3 linked regions of the Zea mays genome follow. The main gene of each other region encodes a partner of the protein of the gene in region 3 in a complex. Links are inferred from orthologs where the notes say so. Each region holds a gene or a part of one and is shown on either strand. Other genes may lie near its edges.

Region 1 (6,828 bases), on a different chromosome or scaffold from region 3:
TGGTGGACGGTCTAGCCCTAGGGCCCGATGATTCGCGCCCTCACGGTTAGATTAACTTAAACGATTTTACTTATCTTGTGTTTGATTATCCATTTAATCACATGGGATATGCTGGTTATCGCTTAGGAACGGGTCCATACATCCCTTATATATGAAGGGATACTGACGATTGAGAACCCTGAACACATTCCAATCGAGCCAATCTATTTACCTGCATTTATCTTTCATGCCTTAAGAGTAGATATAGTGTAGCCTTAGTTTAAATCTATTTGTGGCCTACCACAACTATCTCTCTTTTACTCTATGCTCTGACCATAGATGTCCCGGGTGGCCTGCGGATTCCGGGGCACTCCTTGTAACTCTCCCCCCTAATGGGATTTCTCCCGAGGGGCGAGTTTTAGGGTTCTTCGTGGAGAAAACGACCCTCTGCGCCATTGCGGATCATCAGGTCCAGGGTACGGACCGTCCGACCAGCACGCATGGAAGATCTGCTCCCGCAGCAGGGCCGCAGATATTCCGTGTTGCCGCCGGAAGCACCGTCAGGCGATCCGGTGACTGTAAGTGCAATCAACCCTAATTGAGGGTTTTGGTGATTAAATGACAAAACAAACAGAGATTCTAACAAGTTTGCTCCTAGCATGTACACAGTTATTCTACAGACAGGAGAAGCACAGATCTTATGAGCATAAAAATGTAAAGCACAGCGGATTTAAATTCTACATCATATGGCATGCTCCAAGTGCTTGGAAACAACGACAGTGTTCATTTTATAATTCTTGAGTTATAGGAATCGTCGTTCAATTAAGAGGGATCCGCGATGGTTCAAAATCCTTCAAAATCATCTTAGAGAACACTTTTCCAGATCATGAATACCTTTGTGAAAAACCATTTTCTCTTCCCACAAGAGTTCCACCTTTGTTCACTTCAAAATGTTCAAAACTTGCTCTTCAGCCTCTGAAACCGGTTCAACCGGACCTGAAACCGATTCAACCGGTTTTTGGACTGTTTCTCTGCCACCCCTGCTTTGACTGTCTGACAGTCATAGCTGTCAGAAAAATCGTTGCAGATATTTTTGTGAAACCGGTTCAACCGAAATTTTTCCCGACTCAACCGGTTTTGGATCCGGTCGAGTCCCCGGCTGAGTAGATCAGTGAACCGAGATCTTCCTGGTGGAAACCGGTTTACAAACCGGTTCAACCGGTTTACAAACCGGTTCAACCGGTTTTGGCTCTTTTCTCCCAACGGCTGCCAGCTTTTTGGGGATCCTTTAAATCCCGCCACACTCTCTCTCTTCATTACTTCTGCTCTCTCCACGATTTCTCAGCTGACCAAACTCCAAACAAGGGCATTCAATTCACATCTCACACCCGAAATCGCATCTCCTTCAATCGCTTGAAGGATCCTTGGTGTGAGGTGAAGTCGATCTAACGCGCTGTCAATTTCATCTTGATTCTCCCATTCTCTTTGTTCTTGAGCTCATTGCAAACTTAACCTTGTGCGGATTTGTTACTCTTGGAGCCTTGTGCTCCTTGACAGTTAGAGGTTGCTTGGGAGTCTCCAAATTTGTGGACGACCCCAAGAAGTTTATATTACCCGCTCTTTGAGCAAATTTGAGAAGAGATTGCCTTGACCTTTGTGGTCGGCTTGTGGAGGATTAGGGTTGGAAAAGACCCGGCCCTTTGTGGGCTCCTCAGCGAGGAGTAGGACACCTTTGTGGTGGTTGCCGAACCTCGGGTTAAATCGCATGTTCTTGTGCGTTCTTGTCAAGTGCCTAAAATTGTTGGTTGTTTTATATTCATTTATTTGAGTGGATTTTCTGTAGGGAAAGTCATTAGCAAAATCTTTCACTACTTCGTCATATTAGTTTAACTGATTATTTAATCTAAGTTGAGCAGGTTCAAACTTGTTCAGTTGTAAACAAAATCAACTGAACCGGTTTGCACCAGTGCAACTTTAATTTGACATATCTCGAAGTTTTTAGTGAAAAATTTCAGGTGTAGCCTATTCACCCCCTCTCTAGGCTACTTTCAGTGACCTGTCATGGACCGTCATCGCTGTTCACGTTGCAGAGCCGAACCCAAAGTATTGCTCGTCACGAGAAGTGACTAGGCTTCATTGGTGTTTGGTTTTAAATAGATGGTGGTCATCATAGAGGTGGTGTACTATAAATCAGCGATAGAGATAAAGTTCAAGACCGCATCCGAGATAGTGTTATTTATTTTACATCTTATCTACAATCTCGCTTCGGTCATTAGTAATTGGCGCCCAAATTAGGTCCAAGACACTCCTTCACACATTTTGCCTTTTTAAACGCAATAAAAAATATGGACCTTCCGATTTTCCGAACTATCCTCCAAGTTATTAGAGTTAATAGATAATCGTGGCTGGGCAAAATACTCGTGGCTCGTGAGCTCGCTCGACTCGTGGCCAGCTCGGCTCGACTCGACTCGGCTCGTTTCAATTTTATCACGAGCTGAGCTAACATCTCAGCTCGGTTCGTTAACGAGCCAGCTCGACACGAGCTCGAGCCAGCTCGTTAGCTCGAATGAGCTAGCATTTATCTGTAAAACAAAGCCTATACTTGTATTAGATGAATTAATAAGTGATGAACTATGTTAGTTTACGGTTTAGATGATGTGATATATAAAATTATGAGTATTGTTAGTCTTTTCTAGTGTTAAATTAGTATGAAATTAACTAGCAATTAATTATATTGTTGTATATATACATGTATAATATTTTTTGTTCTGGCTCGCGAGATAAACGAGCCAGCTCGAGCTCGCAAACGAGCCGAGCCGAGCTGATTCTCTGGCTCGGTTGCTTAACGAGCCGAGCCGAGCCAGCTCGTTTCCTTAACGAGCCAGCTCGAGCTCGGTCGAGCCGAGCCGAGTGGCTCGATATCCACCCCGATAATCACGTAAATTCTTTTTTGTGCGTGCATTGGCGATAGCGCTGCCTCCTCTTTGTAGCTGCTACCTGCTAGTTCTCACGTCACTGTAGTCTGTAACGTCGTCTTCTTACTCCCCCTATCCGACGCCGGGACAGGAATCAGCTTCCCCTCCATGCTCCGGCTGGAGCAATATCTCCGGTTGCTGCCGGCGACCAGCCACGCTACAGCGCCCGCGTTGATCTCGGGTTACTCTTTCCTCTCCAGTCCTCTCCCTCGCCTCAGTGCCCTCCGGCTAGCCCGCTCGCGGCCTCCCCCGCTCAGGGGCAAAACGTCGAGCCCCGTGCGCGCCTCGGCGGAGCCGGATTCTACGGTAAAGCGCGCGCCCGAGATGGCCCAGAGGGAGGTGGCGCGGGTGGTCGCGGATCAGGCGGTGGCGCGTTTGGGCGCGCGGCTGCTGCCGTCCGCCGTGCCTGCCGACGTCGTCGAGTTTCGCAACGCCGCCGGGAACGCCGTCGGCTCGCTCGACGTGCAACGGGGCTCTCCTGGCTCGTCGGTACAGTTCAATAGTGATCCTATTTTTTTTTTTCTTGTGGTAGTACCGTACCATGTTAGTATAATACAGCTTTCGTGTGGTTGCATACCAAAAGATAAGGGCATACTACTATACTGCTCTGTGCGTAATACGGTTATGGGATCTCCAGTATGACTCGGAATCGGCACATCATGCATTCCACCATTTTTCCTTGGTATATAGTACTCAAATACACACATCACCCCATATATGGCATCTGTATTGAATACCAAAAAATGGCTTGTGTTTCAGTTCAGTATGGTTTGGTGCACTTGCTGACCGCCTACTTCTCGCCAATTGGATAATTGTTGTCCACTGATCCATTCAAGGTGAATTGTCAAAGTTTTAGATGGAAATATTGCTAATGCAACTCTATCAAAGCATCTTGTCAATTGTAGGTTACTAACAGTTCTCCATTTGAGTCCCTTAGATTATTGTTGTGACTTGTGAGACTGCCGAGTTCCAGATAAAGAAACTGGCAATGATCCGTCCCGTGATTTCCAAAACTTAAACTGTAATCGCAGTCCAATCTGAATATCACTGTCATATATGTTGTTGTCCTTGAGCTGATAGTTCAATCTTAATATGTGATTTCAGTCATTGAAAACAGCAATGTCGTCGAGGATGGAAGAAAGCTTGCATTAACATGCTTCCTGTTTGCTACTGCTGTAAGATGTAGTAAAAAGAAACGATGACAGGACCTGATGTGCGTTTCCTCCTTGTCTACAGATTGATTTCATGCTGCAGTCCTCGCTTCACTGTGAAGTCCCGAACGGTGCCATTGACATCACCTCAATTCTCATTTTCCTGAACGCCTCGACGGACGCACCACATTTCCTACTGGAGCTCATACAAGGCAGCTCAACTTCAATGGTGGTGATTCTGGACCTGCTTCCACGGAAAGACCTCGCGTTTCACCCGGACTACCTGCAGAAGTACTACGAGGAAACTGGAATGGATGAGCAGCGCAGAAAGATCGAGGAGCTACCGCAGGCTCGTCCATACAGATCTCCGTCACTCTTCGTGCGCAGCGCATGCTCGCCTACAGCAATAATGGTGAGCATTGACTGTGGACAAGGGGGTGAGAAAGCCTTGGAAGAGATAATACATGGACAGTTAGCAAAGGTCATTCAGGAGGCTCTTCAGACTTGGCTTGACAACTGTGTTGATTCCACCATAGAGATGGATGAGGCGGAGAGGGACTGCCTGCTCAAGAGGGACCGGATTGTAAGGTCGAAATCGATAGAGGTTGACCTGACTGCAAACCTTCCCAGGATGTTTGGTCCGGATGTGTCTAGTCGGGTCATAACTGAAATCCGCAAGGCCTTTGGTGTACAAGAGCCGTAAGTCGTTCATAAATACAAGCATGTAGTTACTTTATTGTAGAGAAAAATTGTTGTGAGTCCATGAAACCCCCTTATTTGAACAATCGAAAGTATATGTGCTAAAGTTGTGTATATATTACTACCAAGTGCTAACTGAGATGATGAAAGTGAGCTATGCAGGTGAAGATGATCAGTTGTTAGGACCAGGTTTCCAGGAACAGTCTCTCATCACAGAGTTCCTAAGCCGTTCCTGTCTTCCTGATGCTAACATACCCAATAAGCATAAGAATTAGCTCTGCCTAAAAAGGAGGTACTGAATGGCGGTGTGTTTTGCTGCATCTTGTTTTATGTATATAAAACTTTGGTGTATATGGTGTACATATTAAAAAAATATCCATCCATGTTAGATCTACTATCCTTTGCCGCTGTATGTATTTTGCAAAGAACACTCTCCATCACCATTTTTCGCAATGTTCGGATATGGCATCATAATAGTATTATGTGTACCTGATATGTTCAAATGACAACTACAACCAGGTTGTTCCGTGTTCAAGCGAAACTGTGGCGAGCTAGCATAGCAGCAGCCACTCCTGAGCTCGGATGCACATGATGATGGTAACAAGTAATGTTCGATAATATCGGTCCTATGAAATTTGTTTTGATCCCGGAGGGGGGGGGGGGGGGGGGGGTCAAACAAGTAGCTACTGTCTTGTGCGTATCTGGACGTTGCATAGTTCGTGACGGCCGTTCGGGTTTATGCATTTGCTGGACTTTACATCAGTAACTTTTGGACTTTGGCGATAGGATGAAAATCTGTTTCAGAATGAAATTCACGTATGTATACAATTGTGCACGATAATACGTCAAGGAAATCCCTGGATTAAAACAAAGTGACACGTTGCGGTGTGCCTCATTGCATGGACGAGTTTTTCTCTATTTTTTGAATTGAATGCGTGAATTCAAACATTCAGCTTAAAGTAGTAAACTAATCAGAGCAGTAAAATGTTTGAGGATAAGATGTCCGAGTATCTCATCTTCCAAGTACAAAAGGAAATGAGAGTTCCAGCCGAAATGAGTTCATAGTTACTTTGGGATTGTCATGACATTGGATCCCGTCTTCCTCCTCACAGGAGACAAGGAAAAAAAAAAAGAAAGAAAGGCAACCGCAAAGTTATAACAAAGGCTACCCCAAAGTCTCGGCAGCTTGAAGGCAAAGTAGTAAATATGAGACCGAAAGCAAAAAGGCTTGAAGGTAAAACTGCAAATTGGGAATCCAGGCTTCAAACAGATATTTGAATTTAACGAGTGCCTCAGATGGACGCTTTGGAAGTGCATATCACCATGCCTGTGCACCAGAACATTCATCCAGAATTCACCAATTGCGTGAATCATCACCGGCACGTACGCAAACCACCACGGGGCGAGAGTAAAAAAAAAAACAGAGAGAGAGGGACTAACTCCAAACATATCGTGCTGCAGCTGCAGATCGGCCGGGAGACGAATTACGGCATGCAGAATCCTAACAATCACGAACTGGAACAGAAACAAACAGATTGGATGTGCAATAACCCCGCCAGAAGGAGATGAAGCAAGAACAAGACAGCATAATAGATATGCCACGAAAAAGCACGGCTCCATTCCAGTTCCAAACGTGCGGTGGTGGAGAGGCGGACCTGGAAGCCTGCTACTGGTAGTGCTAGGCGGTATGGTATGGCCTCAATAAATAGTCTGGCGGGCGCGGGATGGATCACGGACGGCCGAGATTGACATGGCCACATAATGGGCCTCGACCATGACCACAGCCGCGTGCCGCGTGCCCGTCGTATCAGCAACAGCGGAAGCAGAGAAACGATGCAAGGATAATCCATGTCTACAATGTCAAATACAACTTGCTCTATTCTGATGTTGTGCACATAGCCGAAAGTGATTAACATTGTTATTTTTCCCAGTGTCACTATCTACTTTCCTCCGAAGCTACACAGGGGTGTGTTGCATCTGTCTGAAGGCTTTTGCAAAAATAATGTCTGCTGCACTACCATGTC
Region 2 (6,828 bases), on a different chromosome or scaffold from region 3:
CAGGGGCGTATTGTGGTCAAGTAAAGAAAATAAACGAACTTGAGGTTATCTTTTACCCTTTGTTATATTCTTTTTGGCGGAAACCCTCTTTTGACACATGATCTATATATTTTCATTTGTTATATCCATCTATTCCTTGCAAGGAACTTCAATGCAGGAGTGCCTTGACTTCCTCATGTCTGCCATATTTACAATTGCATCATATATAGCATTGAAATTGCTCTGGGTTGATACAACAAGTATCATGCTTCATGTTTGTTAGGGCGTTGTTTCCTTTCAGTGCATTGTGTCCCTTTCTCGGGGTGGAGGTAGCATAGAACATGTGTTTTTATTATGCAATGTCATGGTGGTAATCCTATGTCAGATCTATGAATTAGTGTTTACAGCCATATTTAAACTACACTTCGATAATATCATATTTTTTATCAGTGGACATGAATAGTGACATGCTTCATGCTAATCCCTGTACAATTCAATAGACCGGTTCTAGGATCAGTACAGAATCATCAATATCATCCGCGAAGGAATTGATAAGGGAATTTGCATCGATTATCTGAAAGCTCAAAAAGGGAGAAGAAAACTCTTAAGACGGAACTTTCATATGTGAAAGAAGACCTATCCAGATCTTCTTCCAAAAATAATGCTGAGGTTCATATGTTTATACTATTGCAATATCTATTTGTGGTTGCCTGTTCACTCATCTATTTTAAACATTTGAGGTTAATATGAGATCAGATAGTACTGCTCACCCTAGATTCTTTTCTTATCCGTCTCCGCATAGCAAAGAAACTAACCGAATCAGAGCAAAGAGATTGCACGAAGGAGGGGGCACCGGAGCAGCGACAACAGAAGAGAGATCACCAGGGTCGCTTGCCTGTCTGAGAGAGGAAGACAACAAGAGATGGACGAGATCATGAACAAGGTGGGTGTTTACTGGATGGGGCCACCGGCCAACAAGGAGATCTCGGCAGGCGACGACCTTGAAGTCTGTGAGACAAAACCATCCCATCCCTGCTCTTTCTTGTAGCTCATCAATTGTTCGGTTTCTTTTTGTTCTAGCATCGTCTAGCATTCACACGCAGCCTGTTTGTCCCTGCGCCCTCTCATGAATAGACCAGCTCAAAGTTAGAACAATCATGGATGGATCGGTTAGTGATTTTAAAAGTTAGAGCATCCATGAATGAATAACTCCGATCTCTGTAATTTGTTTATCTTGTCAGGTTTTTACCCTTTGTTCCCCCTAATTCAGATGGGGGGAACAAAGGGAAAAACGCTTGTGCCCTTGTCTTGTCTCTTCTTTGCTGATTGCGTCGCTGATGTTTCCTAGCTCTAACTACATGCAGTCACTCTCGACCAGCGTCGGGGATGGAGTGGAATGGCTGGTGAAAAAGTTGAAGGGCAAGATGCAGAAGCCACTGGTGGACCTGCTTAGCACAACCTCCCTGTGGGTATGTTCCCATGCGAGAATACCAACTACGAGTTCCCGTTGTCTCTGAGTTGTGGTTTGACGCCACGGTGTCAGGTATGCTAGGCGAGGGCCGCCTCACGTGAAGGTGGACAGGATCAAGACCAAGGTGCTCATCTCGGCTAGGGTCACCATTGTTAAGGCCGCCGCTGCCAAGGTCTACTTCACTATGAGGATCAAGTGGTCGCGCAACGGGACGCCTATGAACAAATGTGTTTGCTGCACACCGAGATGGACAAATGGTTGCTTTCAGTTGCAGGAATAAATTCTGCAGTCATTAGCTACCTGGGAGATCTGTGTGCATTGTACATCATGTGTTTTGTGCTTCGCTGTGAGAATGTGTAACACATGGAAGGATTCAGAATCTGTGCCCATTGCATATGATATATGTCTCGTGTCAGATTTTAACTACAAAACATCTGAAGCAGAGCTCGAGTTAGCTCAAACAATCTATCAGATTTTAAACTGAAGAGTGAAATAACATGCGAGAGATGAGTTCACTGGCAAGCTATTGCTCCATATATACGTGGTGGACTGGAATCGCGTGATGTGTGCTGATAGATTCTGCTAAGGCAAAAAAGAATGCTTAGTTTTTCTGGTTTCAACGTAGATCATCTTTACCACTTTATGAACAAATTAGATAAAATTACTACTTTATGCAAAAATTAGGTACAATTACACATAAATAGTGGTCATCTTTACCACTTTATGAAAAAATTAGATAAAATTACTACTTTATGCAAAAATTAGGTACAATTACACATAAATAGTAGTTTGGGCCTTTATTGGATTTACATCCACACCCATCTAACCAACAGAAGATATATATTTTGTGTTTTGTAAAACAAAGTCTATCAATAGGTAGTGGTTTGAATATTTGTTTGTTGTACATCCACCTTCATCTAACCAACAGAACCCACATGTTTTCGTGATTTGTTAAAATAAAGTCTAATTGTTTGATATATAGAAACCGTAACAACGCACGTGCAATTAGCTATAATAAGATTACATATTTATCTCGCCAATATAATAGTTTTACAGTGATATTTTGCCACATAGATTTTGCATATCATAATGTTGTTTATCGTTTCGTATCTATGTTTTATACTATTTTTTTTACTTTCGTAGCAACGCATGGGCATGAACCTAGTCATATATATGATCGCGTAAAAAATTATTTTATATTGTATACTACTGTTTATAAGAGTTAAGTTTAAAATAGCGGTTGAGATATGAGATATGATGAGTAAGGTGTTGAAGACAATCTAAGAGTACGGATCGTCGTCCCACCAAAAGGAGGGACTACGAAGTAAAAAAATACATATATGGGCGGCATAATTTCTGTTAACTTTTTATCCGGGGTATAGTGTTGAATTTTGAATATTTTTAAATATGAAAACCAAAAAGATGCACTATGCATCGATGGGTGGACATTTTGCAGGCTCCGAATTTTCCTCAAAGGGTGGACATGAGCCGAAATTCATGAGGTGGCCCAGTAACAGTAGTTTCTCTTAAAGGCTCAAGGCATGACTCCTCCATCTCCACTCGATCCTCCGTCTTATCACCGGTGAGGTACTGAGGTGAGACGATCTCCGCCACCATGGCCTCCAGCACCTCCCTCTCCCTTTGCTTGCACGCCTCGTCGCCCTCGTCCTCGTCTCCTGGACTCCGCCGACCCTCCCTCGCCTCCTCCTCGTCCTCCAGGTCCGAGAGAACGCGCAAGATCAGGGCCAAGGCGGTCAGGGAGGACTGGAGGCAGAAATCCAAGCCCATCCCTCCTGGCGCCGTCTACCCTGCCAAGGACCACTGCAGGTATATGCCTGCTGTGCTGCGCATTTCTTTGTTTGTTTGTGTGTTTATGTGATGCGAATATGCGATGCTTACCTCTGTTCCTATTTCTACTCGTATGGCGATTCAAGCCGTTGTGGGCTCTGCGACACATACTACGTTGCGCATGTCAAGACTGCCTGTGCCTTCCTGGGAGACGGCATGTCCCGTGTCGAGGTCACCTCCCTTCATCTTCGCATCACATCACCTGCCTAGAACGGCTCAAACAGTTTGCTGAATGAAAACAAAAATGATCGTCTGATGTTTGATCAAGCCATGGGCTGCAGTGCTGCACGCAGTTACTCCCTCCGTCGAAAGTTATAGTTCAACTTTTCTAACTCTGACCAAGTTCATAGAGACCATCTACAATATCAAAATGATTTCATCAATTTCTTCGTGAAAAATGTCTTGATAGTTTATTTGAACATATACAGAGGGAGTATATTTTTTTATAAAATACTTAGGTCAAGTCAAAGTTAAAAGAAGTTTTGATTTAGAATAAAGCTAAAGTGAACTATAATTTAGACCGAGGGAGTAGTAATGCTCGACATGAATTCTACACTTTGTTTCAGTGAAATAAAGCGGGGAACTCTCCTGTTTCCTAAAAAAAGTTGACACAAATTTACAGATGCCAACACTCTCCTCACTATATTTAGGATCTTGAGCGACAAGTCCACGGGAGAGGCCGGAAGGAAGGCATGGATGAAATGTACTTTGGAGTCTATGACCAACTCTTGTATGCCAGGAAGACCGAACCTGTTGAAGGTACTAATTACCTTTTACAAGTTGTTCTTATCCTTCAACAACCGCCTGCATCCATCTAAGGAAGCACACATATGCAATATACCAGTCTTGTTCACTGCCCTTCCATAACAAACCGAAACCACATACACCTCGAATGTTGCATCTTATTTCCTACACTATCTTGATATACTCAACAAACCTTTGTTAGACAAAACTGTACCCTGACGACTTATGTTTTGTACCCTGTAACATATATGTGCCTCACATGCAACAGGAGCCCAGTGGACGGGAATAGTGACAACAATCGCTGTCGAGATGCTGAAAGCAAACATGGTTGATGCTGTGGTTTGTGTACAAAGGCACCCAAACAAGAATCAAATGCCACATCATTCTTTCTCAGTGCTATGCACAAGCATTACCACATGGATTCAAATAATGTTTTTTACCCCCTCTGCAGTGATCCTGACGACAGGCTTGCTCCAAGACCTGTTTTGGCCAGGTATTGTGAAACTGATGGCTTTCAGAATTGTCCTTTATGGCTTGTGTATAACACTCCTTGACTGGATATACTTTTGCAATTCCAGACTTTCTGTAACTATTTTGAGCTTAAACTTTTGTTATCAGTCCATCCATGAATTACTCATGCTAATCATTATGTCCCTTGATTTCTAGAATGGAAGTGACATTTAATCTCAGTAGCCATGCTCTTGTAGGACACCAGACGAAGTAATTGCAGCCAAAGGTGTGAAGCCAACATTATCACCAAATCTCAATACACTTGCCTTAGTCGAGGTAAGTCGCTCCTTTTAACTCTATACTTCCCATGCCCCCTTATTCTTGATGCAAGCTATGGTGCCATGCCTCCTTTCCCTTTCTTATAACATATAGAAGTAATAATGGGTCATATCAGCAGATCTCTGAGAGTCAGAGAGAATCAGCTGTCCTAATATTAATTTAGGGTTAATTGATCCAGATATTCGTTCCCATTTCCCAATTCAAGAGAATTAGAAGTAGTTCAATTATATTTGAATTTGTTGCTTGGCAAGACCGCAAATGTAATTCTATTAGCCTATTAAATCTGGAGTAGCCCCACATTCTAGTGGGTTCCAAAGCCTATTCCAATCATCCCTCCAACCATAACAATACATATGATATCCTATAGTGACCAGTTTATAAATCCAGAGAGTTTCACAGTTTCCTTTGGCAGGCAGCTGGTGTAAAGCGGCTTCTTTTCTGCGGTGTGGGCTGTCAAGTGCAAGGTCTTTTCCTTTACCTGGCCTTTCTTCTCTTTCTATTGCTGATGTTTTATCAAATGTAAAAGTAAAAGTTGCTAAAGTTATTGTTTGAACTACAGCTTTGAGATCTGTAGAAAAGTACCTTGGTTTGGAAAAGCTTTATGTGCTTGGAACAAACTGTGGTAATTTCCATTTCTCCTCTCAAACCAGTCAATATTTACATTTTCTGTCGTGGAAGATAATATTGTAGCTCTAACATACTGTATTTTTCTTAGTTGACAATGGTACGCGTGAAGGGCTTGATAAATTCTTGAAAGCGGCAAGCAGTGAGCCAGAAACTGTTATGCATTATGAATTTATGCAAGACTATAAGGTATGACATTGAAATAATTAGCTGCATACATTCTTTTTCCCACATTGGTAGGTTCATGTATGGATAATCAATAGGATAGGAATACAGTTTTCCATATCAACAGCTCAAGGAGCAGTTTTAGGATCAACACAAGAACACATGGCATTTACAGAATTGCCATGATTTTCCTTAGATTTTTTTTATGTATGATCACATTGTATAACTGAGAATATTTACAGGTGCATCTAAAGCATTTAGATGGGCACATTGAAGAGGTAAATATTTGTTTGCCAATAATTCTGAGGCTTTATGGATTCTACAATGGAACTATTTAAGTCAGGGCCTAATTTTTGCAGGTTCCTTATTTTTGCCTGCCAGCAAACGACCTGGTAGATGTTATTGCACCGTCATGCTATAGGTATTCTCTATTCAGTATATCGGGTTGTTAGTTTCTTTTCCAAAACTTTTATTGGCCGTTCACAGGTGAGCTAATGATTTGCTTATACCAATTGCAGCTGCTTTGACTACACAAATGGCTTGGCGGTAAGGTTTCCATCATTTTGAATTTGAATAGGGTCCCTTGTTTTGAATAGGAACTTTCTTTCTAGTGCTCATCTGCACAAATAGACAGAAGTTGTACTTCCTAGTGCTCATCTGCACAAATAGAAATGATTGGATCACGTGTCGTTTAGAAAAGATGGAATAATCCTGAAACACACTAGACTGAATCATCTATGTGTTGCATGACGTGGACTGTGTCGTTCTTATTATTACGCACTAACATAGCTGAACTAATTCTCTTGACCTCGAGTTGCCTGGGTGCCTCTTCAACCTTCATGTTCAGAATAGCATTTGTTGTGAGATATCATCTGTTATCTTGGTATATGTCTTCAGTCTGCTCTCTTGGAGCAGACAAACAGCTCAGAGTCACTATGTTGTTTGGTTAAATGTCTGCAGGATTTAGTGGTGGGGTATATGGGAGTACCGAAATATGCTGGGGTCTCCATGACACAGCATCCTCAGTACATTACAGTCAGGTAGAGCGAGTAGGATTGTGCAATTATATTGTAAACAGTACCCTGGTGAGCATCATTGGAACTCTATCCCTTCAGGAACGATCGTGGACAGGAGATGCTGAACCTGGTAGCTGGCCTTCTGGAAAGCACACCTACAATTAGCAGTGTACGCATGCATTTGCATCCGCA
Region 3 (6,828 bases):
ATACTACAGTATTTATGAATAGCATGTCTGGTAGCTTTAACTTTGTCCCCTGTGTACGTACTGTATAGTACGCGCGCGTTGCCATACGGCCATAGTACGTACAGTACGTAGTAGTACTATATGCGTAGCGTATTCGACGACAGGCAGAGGCAGGCCTACCTAGCCAGTGTAGCATAGAGCACTGTAGGAATCAGGAACTGGAAAGAGCGCATATGCCGCAGTTAATGCCGGCCCAAACGAATGCCGCTGCAGCAAGCAGCCTTTGCTTGCAGGGAAAAAAAAGGATGATCCAGGAAGCTGCGCGCGGCGGGCCGGCGGCCTGCACTGCACCACGCCGCGCCGCAGGGCGCAGGCTGCCTTCGCTTCGCCTGGCCTCCTGTCCGGGATCCCGTCGCTGGACGTGCAGCCAGCATTGCATGCATGCATGCAGCCAGCAGGCGCTACCGCGCTAGGATACAGCACATCACAGCAGCAGCATTCACCGCCTCTAATTTTTTTTATGGGGGGTGCGTACAACAATTCCACTGGACCACACGAGCGACCCAGCGAGCGAGCAAATGCGATCTGCAGACGAGTTAGTAAATGCTCACATTCTGCCTCTGGTGTTTCTTGTTTCTGCCTTCTCTATCTCTGCAGCTGATGAGCCCTGCACTCCTGCGGTCCTGCCGATGCTTTTTTTATCAACCTCAGCTCCGGCCTGTTGCTGTTGCCACGAGCGAGAGCAATTGGCCTCGCCTTTTGAATTGCCTCCGATCCTCTCGTCGCCCCACGCTCATGCATCGCCCTGCCAAGCAGCAGGCAACCAGTACGGGCGGTGCATCCCGCCCTGTTGGCACGGCCGGCGCCGGCGGCCCGTCGGGTCCACTCACTCACCGATCGAGGCAGAGCAGCAGTACGTGGTAGATGGAGCACAGTAGAGCGTGTTGAGAACTACGTTACCACGGATCACCAAATCCGTCCTCTTCCCTCCCGTCAGCAGTAGATGCGCAAGAAGATGTAGAGAACCCGTCTCCTTCCCATAAGCACGACAGAGGAAACACACGAGACACTGAATATAGTTCTGATCTCTATTATGAGGTGGTGTACAAGTTGCTTATATAGAGATGTGAGACTCCTCAGGAGCAAAGCACGTATTTGCCTACATAACCCTAGAGCGAACCGGACCAGCGTTGCAGCTGTCACTCTACTTTTGCTCTGGGTCCGACCCACTGACTCAAAGCCCGACGAGCTAGGACGATCGTCGATGGTTCAGTGCACGTACGTTTGCCGTGGCACTCCCGCGCGCGCACGCCGCAGCCAACTCAACCGATGGATGGACGGTCAAACCAAGCAGGCGAACGGAGTCGGCAGCACAGCCACAGCGCTGAGTCACCTCCTCGCGTGCGTTTGCGTGCCGGACTAACGGGAGTTGCGTTGCGTGCACGTGTTTATTTGCTCTAATAACCGCGCACGCTTGGCGTCGCCGTACGTGTAACAGGAATTTTTTGCCACTAATGTGCATCTGCAAGTTTTGTCCTGTCGTAAACACCAGATGATGCTGCCGAACACGTACGAGTTGCGTTTAGGGAAAAAAATTTGTTGCAGCCCGGCTGCAAACCAGGCTGTTTGCAGCCCCTCACAAAAAGGTGGATAGGCCCCACCTGCAGGTCCACCAGATAACGTTTTAGTTGTATTATTTACCTGCGGGTGGGACCTATCCTCCTTTTTGTGAGGGGCTGCAAACAGCCTGGTTTGCAGCCGGGCTGCAACAAATTTTTTTCCTGCGTTTAGGGTTTTGGACGACGACGAAACATTGGCATCCGGGGGGGCTCGGAGGTCCCGTGCAGATCTCGTTCGCAGACAAATAAAAATATAACATGGGCCAAAATGCTCAAACGACACGTACGTACGCGTTTACAAGTATCTGTCTAGGATTCTGAGATATTTCTTCGACGATTCTGAGATACTTGATTTTTTTGCTGACATCTGTGTGCTAGCCCTGGTCCGAGCTCTATCTCCGTGTCCGTGGAATGGACTGGACAGGGACTCGGTGCAGCCGCATCCGCCCAGCGCTGGGGACCCTGAAGCCAAAGCGAACGGCCACGTGGCGCCTATCCGCGCGAATGGGACGGATGGATGAGGTTGCAGCAGCGTGTGGCCGCCGGCCAGTTCATCTGAGCCCAAAGAACTTCACAAACCAGTCCAGGGTCCTTTCTGCAATAACCTGAAGAAGCTACGATTATTATATTTATTCACTGGTAAAGCCCAGTGGAGAGCACACGCCTCTTCTCCCCCCCCAAAAAATCCAGCAGCAGCAGCAAGCCCCACGCAACATTAGCAGCAGGAGACCACCCCAATCCCCCACGGACATTCGCCGCGAACCCTTATCTGCACGCCGCGCCATGGCCGCCGCCGCCGCCGCCGCGGTCGCCCACCTCTCCATCCACGGCCGCCTCCGCCGCTCACCGGAGCATCGGCCGTCCATCACCACCACCACCACCTCCTCCTCTTCCTCGTCCGCTCACCGCCCGTCCCTGCTGCGGTGCCGCGCGTTCAAGCAGGAGGCCGGCGACGGCGACCCGGCTGAGGCCGACGCGCGGAAGCGCAGGAAGGGCCCGCTGTACAAGCTCAAGGCGGCGATCCAGGGCCTCGCGGGATCCCGCTCCGCCGCCGCCGAGGTGTACGGGGGAGAGTACCAGTACCAGCGCGCCGTCGAGAAGGCGGAGGAGATATTCTTCTCGGTGAGCACCGCACCGGCCTCCGCTCGCGAATCCTTGCGGCGTGCCCCCCACCCTCACCAGTCACCACGCTTATCTGTTTGCTCACACACACACCTGAATGAATTGCCTAACTATGCTGGAGTACTACTATCAGGAACGCAAATAAATGTCCAGTGCTCGCTAATTACAGCCTTAGTACCTTAAACCGTGGCATCATGAACAAACAAGGGTTTGTTCATTGTTGCATGTGATCCAGGCTTGCAGTCCACCATACCAAGTCGTATATTTCTCTTATTCCATTTCTCCTGTGCATAAGGGTTTCTTATATGTTTGCTGATCTCAGTCACCTTCTCGCAGGTTACTACTCAGCTAGGCAGATATGTTATCACTATGATGAGCAGCGGTGTTGTACTTGGGGTTGGATTCCAGCTGTCAGGTTTGCCATACGTTTATGCCTCTCGTTTCATTTCACTCTTGGCCTTTTCCTGAAATTCCAATTTAATTAGACGGACTATTTTTTTTAAACCCCTCACCCAGGTGGAGACAGCCAAATGAACGAACTAATTTGGTATAGCTGGCTTGGTGGGGTGATTATCGGCACAATGATAGGTGCAAACAGTGTCCTAGAGGAACACTGCAAAGCTGGACCTCGCAATGTCGTCATAACTGGAAGGTACCTTGTTTCCATCCTTCGTTCAAGATGCCTTCTGCAAAATTTTCCAGGACTCTGTATGCACCATTTTTCAATTTTCATTTATTAGCTGACTTGCCCTGTAAGAAAAGTATTGCACAGCATATTATTGATAGCATATGAAATCACTCTAGAAAACAGAAACTGTCGAGGTTAATGGATTTAGCTACTTAAGAAGGAAATAAAGTTTGGCTGTGTTTTTCAAGTTTTTGCAGTTTCACTGCTCACGGCCATTGGATAGGTTATTTCATACTGTTGTTTCTTATTTCGGCAATTAGCATTGACATCAGTTTTTTTTTTTTTGTTATAAAAAAATTCCAGCACAAGAGGGTTAGGAAAAGCGCTTGCTCGTGAGTTTCTTCTTTCTGGAGACCGTGTTGTAATTACTTCACGAAGGTGATATTCATGAGAACTTTAGTCTAGTTCTACAAGGTTTCATACTTTTTCCTTATGGAGCTTTATGCTTTATTTTAGTTTTAAATATTTTCTTTTTGTGATGGCAGTCCTGAATCAGTCCTTCAGACTATAAAAGAACTTGAAGAGAACATACAGGAAGGGTTATCTGTTGCCAAAAAGAAGCAGAGGAATATTCTATCGCATGCCAAGGTTGTTGGTACAGATTGTGATGTCTGTAAACCTGAAGATGTGAAGGAGTTAGTGAATTTTGCTATTAATGAGCTTGGTTCAGTTGATATTTGGGTAGGTAATTCATTACAGTTTTGTAGCTTAAATCTATATCTTATTTGGTCTACCTTTTGTTTTGCTAAAGAAATATTTAAGTAAAGTTGGATTATACAGAGTTTATAACATTTACATCAGTTGTGAAATGTACTTTATATATATGATGACATTAAGATAGATTTTGTGGTGCCCACTTTTATGCTTTTCTGTATGGTTCTATGGCTACATCAAAGAAGAATATTATTTACCACTTCTTCTCCAACCTTGTGTGCAGATAAATAACGCTGGCACAAATAAAGGTTTTAGGCCATTGGTAACCTTTTCAGATGATGACATCACTCAGGTTCGTTATTGTTATATTATGTTGTGTTTTTATCATTTTTTATGTATGTATCATTGATCAGAGGACCTGGCTTAATCATGCTACCTTATTTCCATCTTTTTATTAATTTATTCTGATCTATTTCATGTTGTTACAGATCGTCTCAACAAACCTAGTTGGTTCTCTACTGTGCACCAGAGAAGCCATGAATGTCATGCAATACCAAGAGAAGGGAGGCCATATATTCAACATGGATGGAGCAGGTTCTGGAGGATCAAGCACACCACTAACAGCTGTGTAAGCATCTTAGCTTTCGAATACTCTGTTGCTTCTTTATAGCTTCTACTGTATAGATGTGTGTTTTTTGTTGCTAAAACTTGAGTGTCCTGTATTGGAGTTCTTTATGTTATGAAGCGAGATCTGATGCTGAACTCAAATTTGTAGCTATGGTTCAACTAAATGTGGACTAAAGCAGTTCCAAGGATCACTTCTGAACGAAAGCAGAAGATCAAAAGTTGGAGTGCATACTGCTTCACCTGGTATGGTCCTCACAGACCTTCTGTTAAGGTAAGCTCTCCATACTTATCAGTTGTCATTATATGATTTGTAAAGGTCGCTGTGAACTTCATATACGTTGACTGTCTGATATAAGAATAATATTGCATTTGACTTGGCCCAAATGTTCATAATTTCTAAACTGCAGAGTATCGTGTAACAATTAACAATTTGAGGACACGGTTTGACTTTGTGCTTCTTTGCATACATATGCATAACACATCAAATGTCAAGCTGTGTAGATGTTTCTGAGATTACCTTGGCACAAATCGGCATAGTCTGGTGCTGTAGAATACTAGAATATATATTCCATAGCTATGTGAATTAGTTGTTTCTCTATATATGAAATTAATTAGTGAGACATGTTTTAGCTATGAGTCTACAACATGCTTAAATAAGTAAATAACTATGATAACAGAAAGACCAAACATAGCCTTAGTAGTTCTTGTCTAGTTTTGCTATATGTGTAAATGTGAATTACTTCTTTTGCAGACTACTCACCTATGATCTGATGAACCCTCTTACTGTGACATGTTGGAATCATGATTCTTCTTCTTTACTGACTACCTGTTTCTTTGCAGTGGTTCATCGCTCAGAAATAAACAGATGTTCAATTTAATATGTGAACTTCCAGAAACAGTAGCCAGAACTTTGGTTCCAAGGATGAGAGTTGTAAAAGGAAGTGGAAAGGCAATCAACTACTTAACACCACCAAGGATCTTGCTTGCTCTGGTTACTGCATGGGTTCGACGGGGTCGATGGTTTGACGACGAGGTACACAGATCTAGTTATTTTATACTAAATACTAACTTACACGTAGGAATCCAATAGTGTCAGTTGTCCTAGGTTTATATTTTATTTAGTAATATCAATGGTTAGTAGTAGATGTGTTTGAATAATTTTTTGCACTATACCATTGCTCCTTAGAGCTTTAATTGCTGCCAGCTGCTTGTGCCCTCGTAACTATACAGCGATTGTTTAGGGTGTCCTGCCATAGCATACTGAAGTTTATATTAATTTTCTCTGCCTTTTATTGTGCTCTGAGTCATATGATCAATCATTTATCCCGTTATTACAGGGAAGAGCGGTGTATGCAGCTGAAGCTGATAGAATTCGCAACTGGGCTGAAAGTCGAGCACGCTTCTCGTTCACCGACGCCATGGAGATGTACACGGAAAACACATGGGTTTCCGTATTCTCGCTCTCGGTGGTCTGTGCGTTCATAATCCTCTCTAGCTCCGGTGGACCTCTTCCAGGCACATGATTTCCAGAGCTGTCAAACTACTAGTAGACGGCCATGCATATGCTCATTTTTTACCCCACCAAAGGCATTCTACTACCAGAAGCCATTTGATACAGCACTTAATGAATGGGGAAGAAGAGAACCCCCCACAGATGTAGATATATAGGTGCAACGGAGATTAGCAGCTGCCTCCTCGCACCATTTAAAGTTTGGCTAGCTAACCTATGTGCTCATAGAAGGGTAAATAGAATTTATTGCGTGGGCATTCCACTGCCGTACGTAAGCTGGACTATGATCCGTGACTTTTTTAAGGACATGTATGCAAAGTTAGGTGAGCAGGATCAGAGTCGACATTGCCTCGTGTACATGCATGTAGTTGTCATTATAATCACTGTAACTTCTGGTATCGCTTGTACCCTTCAAAATTCGAAGACATTATATTGTGAAGCGAAGTGGCACACACCATGTGCATATGGTTTATCTATCTGCATCTGGTTTTCCATCATAACAAACCGGGGGTGGGTGGTTTGGGGGGCGCTAATTGCAGGGAAGCTGCAGCAGAAGATTTACAGAGGTGAGGTTGCTAAGACGCGCACTTTGGTTTCTTGAATTGCTTGGATTCTGAGTTGATGAACAG

Evidence for each region. Proteins that work in one complex are often made in the same cells at the same time.
Region 1: Probable chlorophyll(ide) b reductase NYC1, chloroplastic (region 3) and uncharacterized protein LOC100272914 share a complex: the UniProt entries of both Arabidopsis thaliana proteins name them as parts of the SGR1-CCE-LHCII complex. The link is inferred for Zea mays from reciprocal best matches to the Arabidopsis thaliana genes NYC1 and ACD2.
Region 2: Probable chlorophyll(ide) b reductase NYC1, chloroplastic (region 3) and 7-hydroxymethyl chlorophyll a reductase, chloroplastic share a complex: the UniProt entries of both Arabidopsis thaliana proteins name them as parts of the SGR1-CCE-LHCII complex. The link is inferred for Zea mays from reciprocal best matches to the Arabidopsis thaliana genes NYC1 and HCAR.

Annotation. Positions count from the first base shown.
Region 1 is NC_050096.1:144,515,529-144,522,356, reverse strand, and holds uncharacterized protein LOC100272914, read left to right. Parts: upstream 1-3,050; 5' UTR 3,051-3,062; coding exon 3,063-3,443; intron 3,444-4,190; coding exon 4,191-4,808; 3' UTR 4,809-4,966; coding exon of another isoform or gene 4,967-4,970; 3' UTR 4,971-5,199; downstream 5,200-6,828. UniProt on the Arabidopsis thaliana protein: Catalyzes the key reaction of chlorophyll catabolism, porphyrin macrocycle cleavage of pheophorbide a (pheide a) to a primary fluorescent catabolite (pFCC).
Region 2 is NC_050096.1:206,309,381-206,316,208, forward strand, and holds the start of 7-hydroxymethyl chlorophyll a reductase, chloroplastic, read left to right. Parts: upstream 1-2,961; 5' UTR 2,962-3,065; coding exon 3,066-3,277; intron 3,278-3,384; coding exon 3,385-3,469; intron 3,470-3,948; coding exon 3,949-4,057; intron 4,058-4,310; coding exon 4,311-4,395; intron 4,396-4,493; coding exon 4,494-4,535; intron 4,536-4,749; coding exon 4,750-4,828; intron 4,829-5,243; coding exon 5,244-5,295; intron 5,296-5,390; coding exon 5,391-5,453; intron 5,454-5,546; coding exon 5,547-5,644; intron 5,645-5,862; coding exon 5,863-5,898; intron 5,899-5,979; coding exon 5,980-6,041; intron 6,042-6,138; coding exon 6,139-6,166; intron 6,167-6,580; coding exon 6,581-6,660; intron 6,661-6,735; coding exon 6,736-6,805; intron 6,806-6,828. UniProt on the Arabidopsis thaliana protein: Probable iron-sulfur flavoprotein that converts 7-hydroxymethyl chlorophyll a to chlorophyll a using ferredoxin as a reducing equivalent. Catalyzes the reduction of a hydroxymethyl group to a methyl group. Belongs to the chlorophyll catabolic enzymes (CCEs).
Region 3 is NC_050098.1:2,268,175-2,275,002, reverse strand, and holds Probable chlorophyll(ide) b reductase NYC1, chloroplastic, read left to right. Parts: upstream 1-2,216; 5' UTR 2,217-2,381; coding exon 2,382-2,720; intron 2,721-3,056; coding exon 3,057-3,135; intron 3,136-3,236; coding exon 3,237-3,372; intron 3,373-3,711; coding exon 3,712-3,786; intron 3,787-3,893; coding exon 3,894-4,089; intron 4,090-4,345; coding exon 4,346-4,414; intron 4,415-4,550; coding exon 4,551-4,690; intron 4,691-4,837; coding exon 4,838-4,960; intron 4,961-5,529; coding exon 5,530-5,722; intron 5,723-6,026; coding exon 6,027-6,212; 3' UTR 6,213-6,643; downstream 6,644-6,828. UniProt on the Arabidopsis thaliana protein: Involved in chlorophyll b degradation. Belongs to the chlorophyll catabolic enzymes (CCEs).